2 linked regions of the Cricetulus griseus genome follow. The protein of the gene in region 2 interacts with the protein of the main gene of each other region in a pairwise test. Links are inferred from orthologs where the notes say so. Each region holds a gene or a part of one and is shown on either strand. Other genes may lie near its edges.

Region 1 (6,180 bases), on a different chromosome or scaffold from region 2:
CTTAATACAGTTAGAAATTAAAAAAGGAGAACAAAATTTACTGAATAATTTCAATATTGAGATAGTAACTTCAAAACAACCTTTAAATGTCTCTGTTTTCCTTAGGCCCCTCCTGGTAACACATGACAACTAAACAGTTGATTTTATAATGATGGTACCTCTCAGATAACGGCCATGGCTTACACTACCAAGTATTATCCTAAATCAGTGTGTCTAAGATCAGGAGGCAACATCTCCGGGGGTGGGGCTATTTGGAAGCAAGTATTTCAATAAGTGATAAGTATGCACTTTAAACTGTGCTACTCGGCCGTAGGGTTTGAGGTGAGGGATTATAAATGCTCTGTAGAGTTGAGTGTGAGACTCAGTGCTGACCTGCATATAGAGATGCCAGTGGCATTTCTGCTTGTAGACCACTTTATGAATGAGCCCTGGACAACAAGTATACAGTGCTTTTGATGTTTCTGTCTTTTTTTAAACATTAATATAAAAAATGGTGCAAACCTAGACACAAATTCATCTTTGTGTTTCCACAAGAGCCAAATTCAATAACATTTTTTACTCTTAATGTCAATTTAAAGACATGCTAGAGTGTTTACATGTTTCACCAGACATCAGTTTTCTCACATTCTGACTCAAGATGAAATTCACACTGTCCATTTGCAGAATAGACATCATAATATCAAATCTATGTTTGCTATTGTGATTGCATTAGCTCAAGCAACATCTCAGTGAACTCTGCAAACCAAACTCAGGTTTCTAGAAATCGTTTGTAGCTTGTCCTTGAACTATGTCATAGGTCACTTTCACATAAAAAATAGAGTAATCTGATAGTGTATTTTAATATTTCTGATGATGTCGAAGTACCTACTATATTGGTGTGAGAATCAAGGGGTCTGGCTTTTAGCAGTGACGCTAGTTTGAGTTTTCGGCCCTGTGTTTGATATCCTGTAGTTGTTCTTTCTACATTGACTCATTTCCACTTGGAGAGAGGCCCCTAAGACTTAGAAACTAAGCTCTACCACCCGAGTCTCTGGAAGCTCCTATAGTGTACAAGATTCATGCCTGCCTCTTTGCCACCCAGGGTTATACAAGCTATATCAGTTACTGGAGAGAGGGGAAAAGGAGAGAGAGAGAAAGAGAGAGTCCTTTAGCTGAGGCGCAAATCGTGCAGGGAGCTCCAGGTATGCTGCTTTCTTAAATCATCAGCCATGCTGATGTGGGCTTTTCAGTGGTGTGGCTGCTCCTGAGTCCTCGGAACGCCTGTGAATAACCTTGCCACCATGCCCCTGCAGCCCTGATAAAATCACTGAATCGCTAAAATAGACTTGGACAGAATTGCTCCTTTGGTTTGTCATCAGTGTCAGATCTGAGGTGAATGATTTTTGTTTTTTATTTGCTTATCTGCTTTTTTCACATTTCCATAAGAAAAGACAGTTGTTCATCAGTAAAACCGGGGTATTTGTTATCTATGTCTTAAAGGGTTGTGATATTGAGTAACTAAAATCTAGCAAGCTGCCCTGAGGCATGCTCTGGTGCCTGTCTTGAGGCACATTCCCCTCTCTTGCTTTTCCAGCTTCAATGGCTTCTTTGTTCCTTCACTGTGGAGGTTCCAATGTCTGCCTACCATTCCTTGCTCTGCCTGAATATGCTAAGAGTACCTGCTCTTGCCCTCACTTCCTTCATGTTTCTGCTCAAGTATTCCTGGGAACAGATAATCACAGGCCACTGTATAAACCACAGCTCTCCCAGTTTCCTCTAAGACTTTCTTTGTCATATGCTAATGGTGTAACACCTTATCTACTACTTTTTCTATACTAAAACATAATTTTGAAAAAGACAGAAAATTTTATTATTTTCTTTAGCAATCATATCCTAATGCAAATGTAGAGATTTTCCTCAATCAGTCTATATAAAATTTTCTAATATACACACTTAGCTAGAAACCTGGCATCTCCACTATTTACAGACTAGGTGAAATAGTGGAAGGACTTTTAATTATTTAGGAACTATTTATTCAGATGCATATCTCTCCTAGTAACCTAGGATAATTGCAAAGTTATGCTTAAAAAGTTCTATTATATCATTTTCCCAGTTTGAATCTTGGTTATCCTATTCCAAAAATATTTGAAGCATAGACCATTTACATGTTTCTCTGAAAAGAAAGGCTATGTAACTTTTTTAAAGTGACAGTGTTCCTCCATTAAAAGCAACATGTCCTATTTCCAGGCTTCATTCTATCACACACCAATAAAGCAGAGAATACAGTGTAATTTACCAGGATTAAATTCAGTTCTAGGTTATCTTTTTTATTGTCTGTCTACTGTAGTGCACTATTGAGGAATTTAACTATAGATAATTACCAGGTAGCTGAATGGTAGTGAATGCTGTAGGCATTTATCAATAATAGTTATTCCTACTTTTTAAAAAAAGAATCCTCAGTGTAAAGGGAAAAAGTAGAAATAAAACAAACTTAAGAAGAAAGTGTAGGAACCATATTAAATGGTACCCAACCTCTCAGGGTACTTAAGGTAATCAGGGGCCCCTCTAACTGAGGCTGAGTTTAAAGGGAAATAAAGCAGGTACTTACATTTAGAGCCTGATGAAGATGACCCACCAACAGTAGATCTGGATCCCCCTTTCATGGAAAACACGCCTTTCCCCCTGCGTGTGGTGGTGACAGCCACTCTGGGACGCTTCAGTGGAATGACAGCTCGAGGAGGCGGAGGCACACGTCCATGGTAATCAAACAGCCTTCACAAACATGAATGGTTGAGAGTTGGTAAAATGCCTAAACATTCTATGAAACACATGGAAGTATTCATAGAATAACTATAAAATTTTTGGCAAGTATACTTCTATCCTTGTTTATTATACAGACAAGATACTTATTAATTAGTTCAATTTTTTTCAGAAGGCAATGGGATGTTCTTTCTGCAAGTTAGACTTTGACCTGACTCTAAACTGTTATAATAAAGCAAAGGAGCTTTGCTCTGAAGGCAGAATGAAATTTGCCAAAATCAGGTCAACCTTTGTACTCTGCTATATTTCTTTGTTTGAGCAAACAAATTTACCTTAATGTTGAACAGACACTTTGGGAACTTATACATATATTGGGCACTTAAATTTACTTGAGAGTGGAATGATTACACATATCATAAACTAAGAAACCAAAAAAAAAAGAATCCTCAGTGTAAAGGGAAAAAGTAGAAATAAAACAAACTTAAGAAGAAAGTGTAGGAACCATATTAAATGGTACCCAACCTCTCAGGGTACTTAAGGTAATCAGGGGCCCCTCTAACTGAGGCCGAGTTTAAAGGAAACAGAGCTAGCACAAGGCTACAAACATGTTGAACAAAACACTATAGGGAACTGATAATTAGAACACTTGGTTATTCTGAGTGTTTTCCACGTATGCAAATTGAAAGAGATATTTGTTCAGTGAGCTAGCGAAACGTTTTCTAACCAAAAAGAAAATCAGTAAATGTCCTACTATGACTGAAAGAAAAGCTGATATTCATTACAGCAATGCATTTCCAATGAACAGCAAAAGAATAAAGGTATATAATGTTAACACACATATGGAAATATGTCATTCAGAGATTTGAATGATTCGTATTACTTCTTAAGCAAACACATATGCAGCAATTTTTATATGATAGCATATTTGAGAAGCATAACAACTTAGGGACAAAATGCTGGGTTATATTTACGCATTTATTTTTTAAAACAATTTTCTAACAAAAAAGATATATAATTATAGTTCCAAGAACACAAGAAAAGACATTATTGATTTATGTTGATGGTTGTTAGGTATTTGATTTTGACACTATTACATAAATTTTAGTTTGCAATTGATTTAAAACAGTCAATAATTAAATGAAGATGAAATCCAGAAAATAAGGCAATATGCAATTCAGAGAAGAGAAACTAGATCAGGAAGAAAATAGTGAAAAAAATTTCTAGAAGAAGTTATTTTATAGAAGTGCATGTTGTGTACATATATGTCTGAAAATGTTATAATCTCTTTTGGGAAACTAATATAGGGAACATGGTAAAATATAAACTGGTTTTCAATAATTTGTTCAAAAATATTTATAAAGATTACATAATAAGATAAAAGGACAATGCTTAAGTTTAAAAGGGACCTTTTAATGCAAAGATTATCTCCTACATGCCTAGAAGGGAAAAGATGTCAAATGTGGCAGAGGTCAAGGGAGGCCCCATCCCGCATGAACTGGCAAAGTACTAGAGGGCAGAGGACCTACTGGCAAAGAGCAGTAGATGTCAGCACACTTGGGTTTCCTTCAAAGCCCACAGCTGGATGAGGCAGAAAGGGTGGTGAATACAATCCGTAACAACAGAGAATTGAAAATCAGAAGGGTCAAGAAAATCTGCCCCTCATTTCCATCACAAAACAAGGTGTACATTAGTTATTTATAAGATGAATTCAAAGAGTTCCCTAAGTCAGTGCATCAAGGAACAATACCCAAGAAAATCAAGAGGAAGAAAATGTGCCATTTGGCTCTGTCTTCACGTGAGAAATTACCATTTAAGGTAAAAGGTTCCCCTCGTTTTTTCATGTGCTCTGAGGATGTTCCTTAAATAAACAAACCTGTTTACTGGGTAAAGAAAATCTGCATAGTGCAATGAGTCTGGGAATCCAGAAAGATAAGAACTCTGGTGGACATGCTGAGAAAATTAACCACCACATCATTGTTAACCTAATCACAATGCTCTTTAATCTTTAAAGCCACTTTCTAGGTCACTGAAACATTTGTCAGTATGTTGTCATACTCTACAGGCTGTGTTCCAGAACCTTTGTCTGGTGTTGGGTTTCCCAGGCCTCATCTCTCAATGCCCAGTGGCTTTCTCTATCAAAGAATCAGGTGGGATCTTTACTAGTGCCTTGTGCCACTCTGATGTGACTGTGGAAAGCATTAGAGCTTAACTGTTTTAATGTCGTAAGTAACATAAAAACAAGATGAAAGGAAGGTATGGGTACTTCAAATGTGAACAAAATTCTAATGTTTATACTATTTAATGGAATTGGAAGCTGTCTTAAATATCATTGGGCACCTTTGGGTTATCAGAAATGTAAGCAAGGAATCTGGGCATGGCTCTAATGCACAAACTGTAGCATGCTAAGTGGAAAAGGGTTAATTTTCTAGGCTTGGGAGAATGGCTAGAGTGTCTAAATGAAGAAGGAAGTAGCTGGGATACCAAGAAGACAGCTTAGTTTTTTCATCAGAATTCACTCTTCAGTAAATAAAATTAGTTTATCTTTATAAATAGCTTTGGGAGTAAGGACAACTCACTTGAAATTATAGGCTGTCTAAAAAATTACAGTCAAGCAAAATGGAATGAAAGCAACATTTCAAAGGTTGGCTGAAGTATTTAAATTGTTTTTATTGTCATCATATTATTTCACTAGTTCTTACAATTATATCTCTACTCTTTTCTAATGGGTATCTTAGTTCCCCTAATAGAGTTTACTCAGAAAAAAACTTCCGATACTTTTTAAATAGATAATGGATATTACAAAACCAAGAGTATATCTTCCCTTTTCCAAGGTTAATTTTGAAATGAATACTCAAAAACCTTCCCTCTATTTGTCAAGGAAATAAAAGTAGTAATAAGACTGATGTAGCCCTTAGAAGAATTTGAAGCTTCATTTTTCATTTCAGAAACATTTAAATTACATATTTTATTGTTACACTGTTGTTTGCTTTAAATAGAGATTCATATTATTACATCCTAGCAAAATTTAAAAGCTGATAAGCCTAATTTTAATACTTATTTATTTGATAAAATTGTCAGAGCTTGTCTCTTAGAAGAAGGATATTAATTTTCATTCCCTATCCTTAAAGCAGGTGTGCTTTGGATAAAATCAATTTAGTGCCATCTTAACATAAACACAGATAGTGAATATACTCACTTCATTACTTTGAGAATATATAGTACTAGTATATAGTATAGTAACAATAATTGTGTTTTGGGAAAATACATGAACAACGTCCTACATTTATACAACAAAACAAACTCTGTCATCTGAGTTTTCCCTTTAGCCATCTCTACCTTTTTTACATAACCAAAACAACAGTGCAAATATAGACATGCACAAAGAATATGTCAATCTGGTATATTAAAAAGATTTCTCAACCTTCCTAAATGATTTCCTTC
Region 2 (6,180 bases):
CTTAATTTTTAGTCTCACATTGCTTTTTAAGGTTAAGAGTTAGAGCTAAAGATTCCACTACAAAGTAACTTTTAATAATGTTTAATGTATTTCTTCATATATTTCAGCAACTGTATCAGTCATTTCCTGGCTATTCTCTGTTCTAGTGTAAAGTCTTTCCTAATTTTTAAAGTGAAAACTATGTTAAATAACTTTTCCTTCTCCCATCCTTTTTGTATTGTTTAAAGAGTGCATTGGATCTGCCTTTCTATGAAAGATTTAAGGATCCAAACAGTGTTGTTGGCCTCAGCATAGTGTTGTATAGCAGGTTTGTAGGGTTTTCTCTTCTATGACTGAAGCAATTCCCCCATTTTCCCCTCCCAGTAACTTACCGCCATTATACTTTTAGCTTCAATAATTTGGACTACTTTAAATGCTTTGTCTAAGTAAAATAATAGAATATTTGTCCTCAGTCACTGAGCATGTGCTCATAAAAGTTTGTGTGTCATAGCATATGATAGTGTTAATGGAAAACAAAAAACATAACTTTTACCTCAAAAAGGATAAAAGATAGTTTATTTTTGAGCCAGATATCAGTAACTATGACCTGGTAATACAAGTTCAGGTTACCCCACAATCCATGCTGCAAGATGGTAACAGTTTAATGACTTTTCATAGTAACAGAAGAACAAAGAAAATCATAAATCAAGGTGTTTTCAAGTATATTGGTGGAAACATCAGGTAGGTGGGTTACAGCAAGTTGGAGAAACCACTGCTACAGACCTCATATGCTTTCTGATGACATTCTTAGCATTTTGGTGGGTGGAAGCTAGTGGTCTGTTCATACATTTCACAAGATTTCACTTGTTAATCACAAGTGTGTTGGGTCAGACACAGATGTGGGCAAGGAATGAATATTAGGGGTGGCTAAAGATAGGCCCTGGGCCTGCATCATCCCAACCTCTCCACAGTCATTGGAGTTTTCAGCCTTTTACAGGGTTCAGTATTAGATATGGTTTCTTTGCAGAAAAATCTCATTCATAATAGGATTTTTCTCTTTAATGATTAAATAGTATTCTGGTCTATGTATATGCTACCCTCTCTTTATCCACTTGGTCAGTGGATATTTCCTTTTTTTCTCATTTTCCTCTGTATGTGTTTATTTTCTTTGTGATTACCGTGGCTAGAACAACGTTTTAAGCTCATAATATGTAAGTTAAATAACATATAAGATGGTATTTTGTTCTATTAAAATTTCAATAGCATCCTATTACTAATTGATAGAATATTTTCCTGAGGGTATTAGTCACAGGTTGGTTTTTGTTGTTGATTTTTAATTCTGTTTTCTTCATTGTTTCTGTTTTCTCTCATTTGCTTTTCTGCCCATTCTCTGTCCTTTACATTAGAAGCCTTTCTCATATGCCTGATAATCCCTGTCCTTATTTCTGAGTGTAAAGTTGTTTACAAGTTCTGAGATCATGGCCTTGTGTACTTTGAATTCAAGGTGATATTTTATAATCCCAGCACTTAGAAGGCTGAAGCGGGAAGATTGTGAGTTCTAGGCCAGCCTGGGTTATATAGTCAGTCTCTGTCTCCAGATGACAGAAACAAAACAGTAATAACAATGAACCAGATGATCTGGCTGGATCATCTGTTGGAGAACTCCCCTATTCCAAGTCAGTGTTTTGATCTTTCTTGGGGATTAGTTCCCCTGCAGGAGACTGTTCCCTGTGCTTTCTTGTAAAGGAGCTACCAGTATTAGTAGAGGAATGGTAGTCAGATCATGGGTGTTCCCAGTATTTGGTAGGCATTCTTTCAGTCTCCTTGCTTTCAAAATGCACTACTCTTGACCTCAACTATATGAGACATTCCAAATTTACTGACAATCAACCTTCAATATTCTGCCAGGATTGGTGAGTTGCCCTCACCTAGTACTAAAGTTGCAGAGAGGGTAAAGATCTAATTTCAGTTTACAACAGCTTTCAACTTACCATCCTCATTCAACCCTATCTAATCACATCTATTTCCAGAGCCACCTGAAGCTATCAATTCTTGAACGTTTTGTGCATGCATTAATTTTTTTCTTTTTTGTATATTTATTTGATTTTTAGACAGGATGTCACTATGTTGTCCAGAGTGGACTCTTGTCCCAACTCAGCCTTCCTTGCTGGTAGAACTATAGGTTTTCATCACTGTGCCAACTTTGAAAGCTTTTATATTTGTCATATATATGTGAGGGTGTGTGTGTGTGTGTGTGTGTGTGTGTGTGTGTGTGTGTGTGTGTGTGTGTGTATGCGCATACATAGAGGCCAGAGTTCAGTGTCACATGTCTTCCTCTGTTGCTCTCTACCTTACTTTTTAAAATAGGGGCTCACTGAGTTTAGAAATCGCTAACTAGCTAGACTGGCTGGTAAGCAAGCGCTGGGATCCACCCAGCCTTTTACAAGGATGTCAAATCAGGTTTGTACAGCACTTGTATCCACTGAGCCACCTCCCTAGCCCACATCTGACTTTTGAAGACTTTTAAAGAAGATTCACTGTGTGCTTGGATTTTCTGCCCAAAGCATTTGCTAGTGAGCCTTATTTGGTGTGCTTAGTTCCTACTCGCTATTTATTTTGTATCTTCCAGAACATTGTTGCTATTCCCTTCTTTCTGAGTTCTTTCTGACATTGTTGGTTTCAGGACTTGTTGTTTTAGAGTTTACTAGAGAGAATAACATCAGATGAATCTTCAGTCTCCCATCTGAAAGTAATTCAAGCCATAATGAAAGAGTTGCTTTCTTTCTGTGATATTTTTGTCACTTTTCAATTTGTATTAGGTGCTATACTTGAAGAACCTTAGTCCTCGGGTGAAAGAAAGAGACCTTATCTCATTATTCGCTCGGTTCCAGGAGAAAAAAGGACCACCCATTCAGTTTCAAATCATGAGTGGACGCATGAGGGGACAGGCTTTCATCACCTTTCCCAGTAAGTAACTTCATCTAGATAATCACTCCATTGCAGTATCAGTTCATATGAGACTACCTATTACCTCGCTGAGTTAGATACAGCCTTAGCACATGAAAGGGGCTGATAAGGAAAATACATTTCCTGCATTCCCAGATCTTCCTTCCAGTACTTACTTTCTCCTCTCTATGGATGCTGCATAACCACCTTACCCCGCTGTCCTCCGTCTCCCAATTTTTGGCAATTCCTTTCTACCCTACCAATATTTATTTTCTTTTTATTGACAATACTATTTCTGCTCTATATTATAATAGAATTATTCATAGTTAATATATTGGAATTGTTATCAGAAGACATATACTCAGAAGCCCTATTCCTTTAGGACTAAGTGATTTTAAGCTAATTAATTAATTCATTACCAATTCATAATTATTGAAAGATGATACATTCTTTCAAATATCACTTGCATATCAGTACATGGCTTGTGTTCTAATCTAACTGCAAGACTAATACAGTAATTTTGATTTCAATAGTAAGTTAGCCACTATGTCTTTTGTGGGAAGAAGATAGATAATATCTGTATCTTTTGTTACCTCTAAATTGTCATTTTAATGCTCTGCTAATTTTTGTGTGGGTAAGTGATTTACACATGAAAACTGCTGACCTTCTTTCCATTGCTTTCATATGACCTTGTACTATCTTTTCTATCTCACTGAAGGTTTGTAAATTCTTCGTACCATTGGTTTTCAGTCTTTTGAAGTGAACATTTCTGGACTTTCACAGAATATATATATATATATATATATATATATATAATATATATATATATATATATAACCTACTAATTGAAAGAAGCACCATGCAAAGGCTTTATATTATGTGTACATGTTTGTATACTGTTTGTGTATGTATGTTCATGTGTGTGTGTGAGTATGTGTGTGTGCACATGTATGGACGTGCATGTGGAGGCCAGAAGCTAACTCACTTGCTCTTCCACCTTAATTTTCTCACTGAACTGAGAGTTGATTGATATGGCCAGGCTGGCTGGTCAGTGAGCTACAAGGAACCACATCCCCAGCACTAGGGTTACCTGTACATGCTTCCATACCTGGAGTTTTATGTGGGTACCAGGGACTGAAATGCAAGTGTCCATGCTTGCCTGGGAAGCATTTTGCTATCAGAGCCATCTTCCCAGCCCCAGTTTTATACTTCTTAATTTGTGACCATTTTACTAATCCTAACAGCTATAATACTCACCTGAAACTTTGTGGTATATCTGAGACAAAATGATCTCAGTATTGCCTACTTATAATTCCACAGACTCTTGTCCAAAGTCTACCCCCTCCTTATTTCTTACACACAGTCTCTGAGACCCATATGTTGAATATTCCTGCTATACATTATATATTCTCATACACAAACTTTTTTGTCTGTCAGCAAGAGAAGTTCATTATCCTATATCGAGAGCAAGGACAATCCATAGTCTAAAAGGTTAAGATATCTTTTATTCAGATGAACACCAGCCAAATGCAAGCCAGAGAGAAGGGCCAGGGAGAAGGGGAAGGAGAAGAAGAAGAAGGAGCTCCCATGTGCTCGTGGTCCCTTAAGAGCCCATTCCATGTCATCCTGACCTCACCTTGACCATGCCTTGATAGGTGTGGTTAGGCACACCTGTAGCCAGCCCTTAGGAGGCGTGGTTACGGTGTCTCCCTATAATTCCCCTGTTAGTCTAAAGAGGATTAAAACTTAATAGTGTAAAATATCCAAAATTAACAATCAATCATAAAGGTGAAATACAAGAAGATACAATAATCTGCTATTGCATATCCTAACTATGTCTATTTCAGCTAAACCCTAAAGTCATCTGAAAGGGGTGTCCAACCTGAACACGGCGCCAGGTATATCGAGAGCGAGGACAAGCCATAGTCTGTAAGGTTAAGATATCTTTTTATTCAGATAAACACCAGCCAGAAGCAAGCCAGAGAGAAGGGCCACGGAAAAGGGGAAGGAGAAGAAGAAGATGGAGCTCCCATGTGCTTGTGGTCCCTTAAGAGCCCATTCCCTTTCATGCTGACCTCACCTTGACCATGCCTTGACAGGCGTGATCAGGCACACCTGTAGCCAGCCCTTAGGAGGCTACAATTCCCCTGTTAGTCTAAAAGAGGATTAAAACTTAATAGTGTAAAATATCCAAAATTAACAATCAATCATGAAGGTGAAATGCAAGAAGATACAATAATCTGCTATTGCATATCCTAACTATGTCTATTTCAGCTAAACCCTAAAGTCATCTGAAAGGGGTGTCCAACCTGAACACGGCGCCAGGTATATCGAGAGCGAGGACAAGCCATAGTCTGTAAGGTTAAGATATCTTTTTATTCAGATAAACACCAGCCAGAAGCAAGCCAGAGAGAAGGGACACGGAAAAGGGGAAGGAGAAGAAGATGGAGCTCCCATGTGCTTGTGGTCCCTTAAGAGCCCATTCCCTGTCATGCTGACCTCACCTTGACCATGCCTTGACAGGCGTGATCAGGCACACCTGTAGCCAGCCCTTAGGAGGCATGGTTATGGTGTCTCCCTACATTATCCTAATAAGAATTCCCACAACCACTTTCCCTCTAAAAGAAACAAAGTAGCTAAGTATGCTCAATAATGTCATAACTTTTGTTTGTATAACAATTTTGAAATATTTGTTTTTCATGTATATAATCTAAGATAGAGGCATGTTTATAGTTGTGTTTAACTTAAAATTTCTTCAGTTAACTCCCTGTGTATCCTTATCTCTTCTATATCTTTGAATCAAATGCATATTTTAGGGCCTTTTGTCATTATTATTATTATTATTACTACCCATTATTTTAATCTTGCTTGCAAATACAAATTGGGGGTTATAGACATGACAAAAACATGTAACATTAGTATGATTTTATAGCAAACCAGCCCTAATTAAACTTGTAATAATAATCAAGTGATTAAGCTCTATGTAATTCGATATATTTTTCTTATTTTTTCCAGATAAAGACATAGCATGGCAAGCATTGCATCAAATAAATGGATATAAACTCCATGGAAAAATATTGGTGATAGAGTTTGGAAAGAACAAAAACCAACAGTCAGCTGTCCAGGGTGCTTCCCTTATAACAACTGCTATAGATAGCAGTACAGAAATCAGTGGTAGCTAGAATCCGTATTGACACACATACATACACATTTGGATATATGTATGTGTCTAAACACACACTCAGATCTGTCTTT

The links. The genes of interacting proteins can lie anywhere in the genome.
Region 1: the proteins of Rbm41 (region 2) and Ralyl interact in binary tests that used the Homo sapiens proteins (3 or more experiments, as listed by UniProt). The two-hybrid records come from large-scale screens. The link is inferred for Cricetulus griseus from reciprocal best matches to the Homo sapiens genes RBM41 and RALYL.

What each region holds. Positions count from the first base shown.
Region 1 is NC_048595.1:134,729,406-134,735,585, forward strand, and holds part of Ralyl (RNA-binding Raly-like protein), read right to left. Parts: intron 2,752-6,180; coding exon 2,588-2,751; intron 1-2,587.
Region 2 is NC_048604.1:40,385,530-40,391,709, forward strand, and holds part of Rbm41 (RNA-binding protein 41), read left to right. Parts: intron 1-2,798; coding exon 2,799-2,946; intron 2,947-4,772; coding exon of another isoform or gene 4,773-4,783; exon of another isoform or gene 4,784-5,101; intron 5,102-5,940; coding exon 5,941-6,107; 3' UTR 6,108-6,180. UniProt on the Homo sapiens protein: May bind RNA.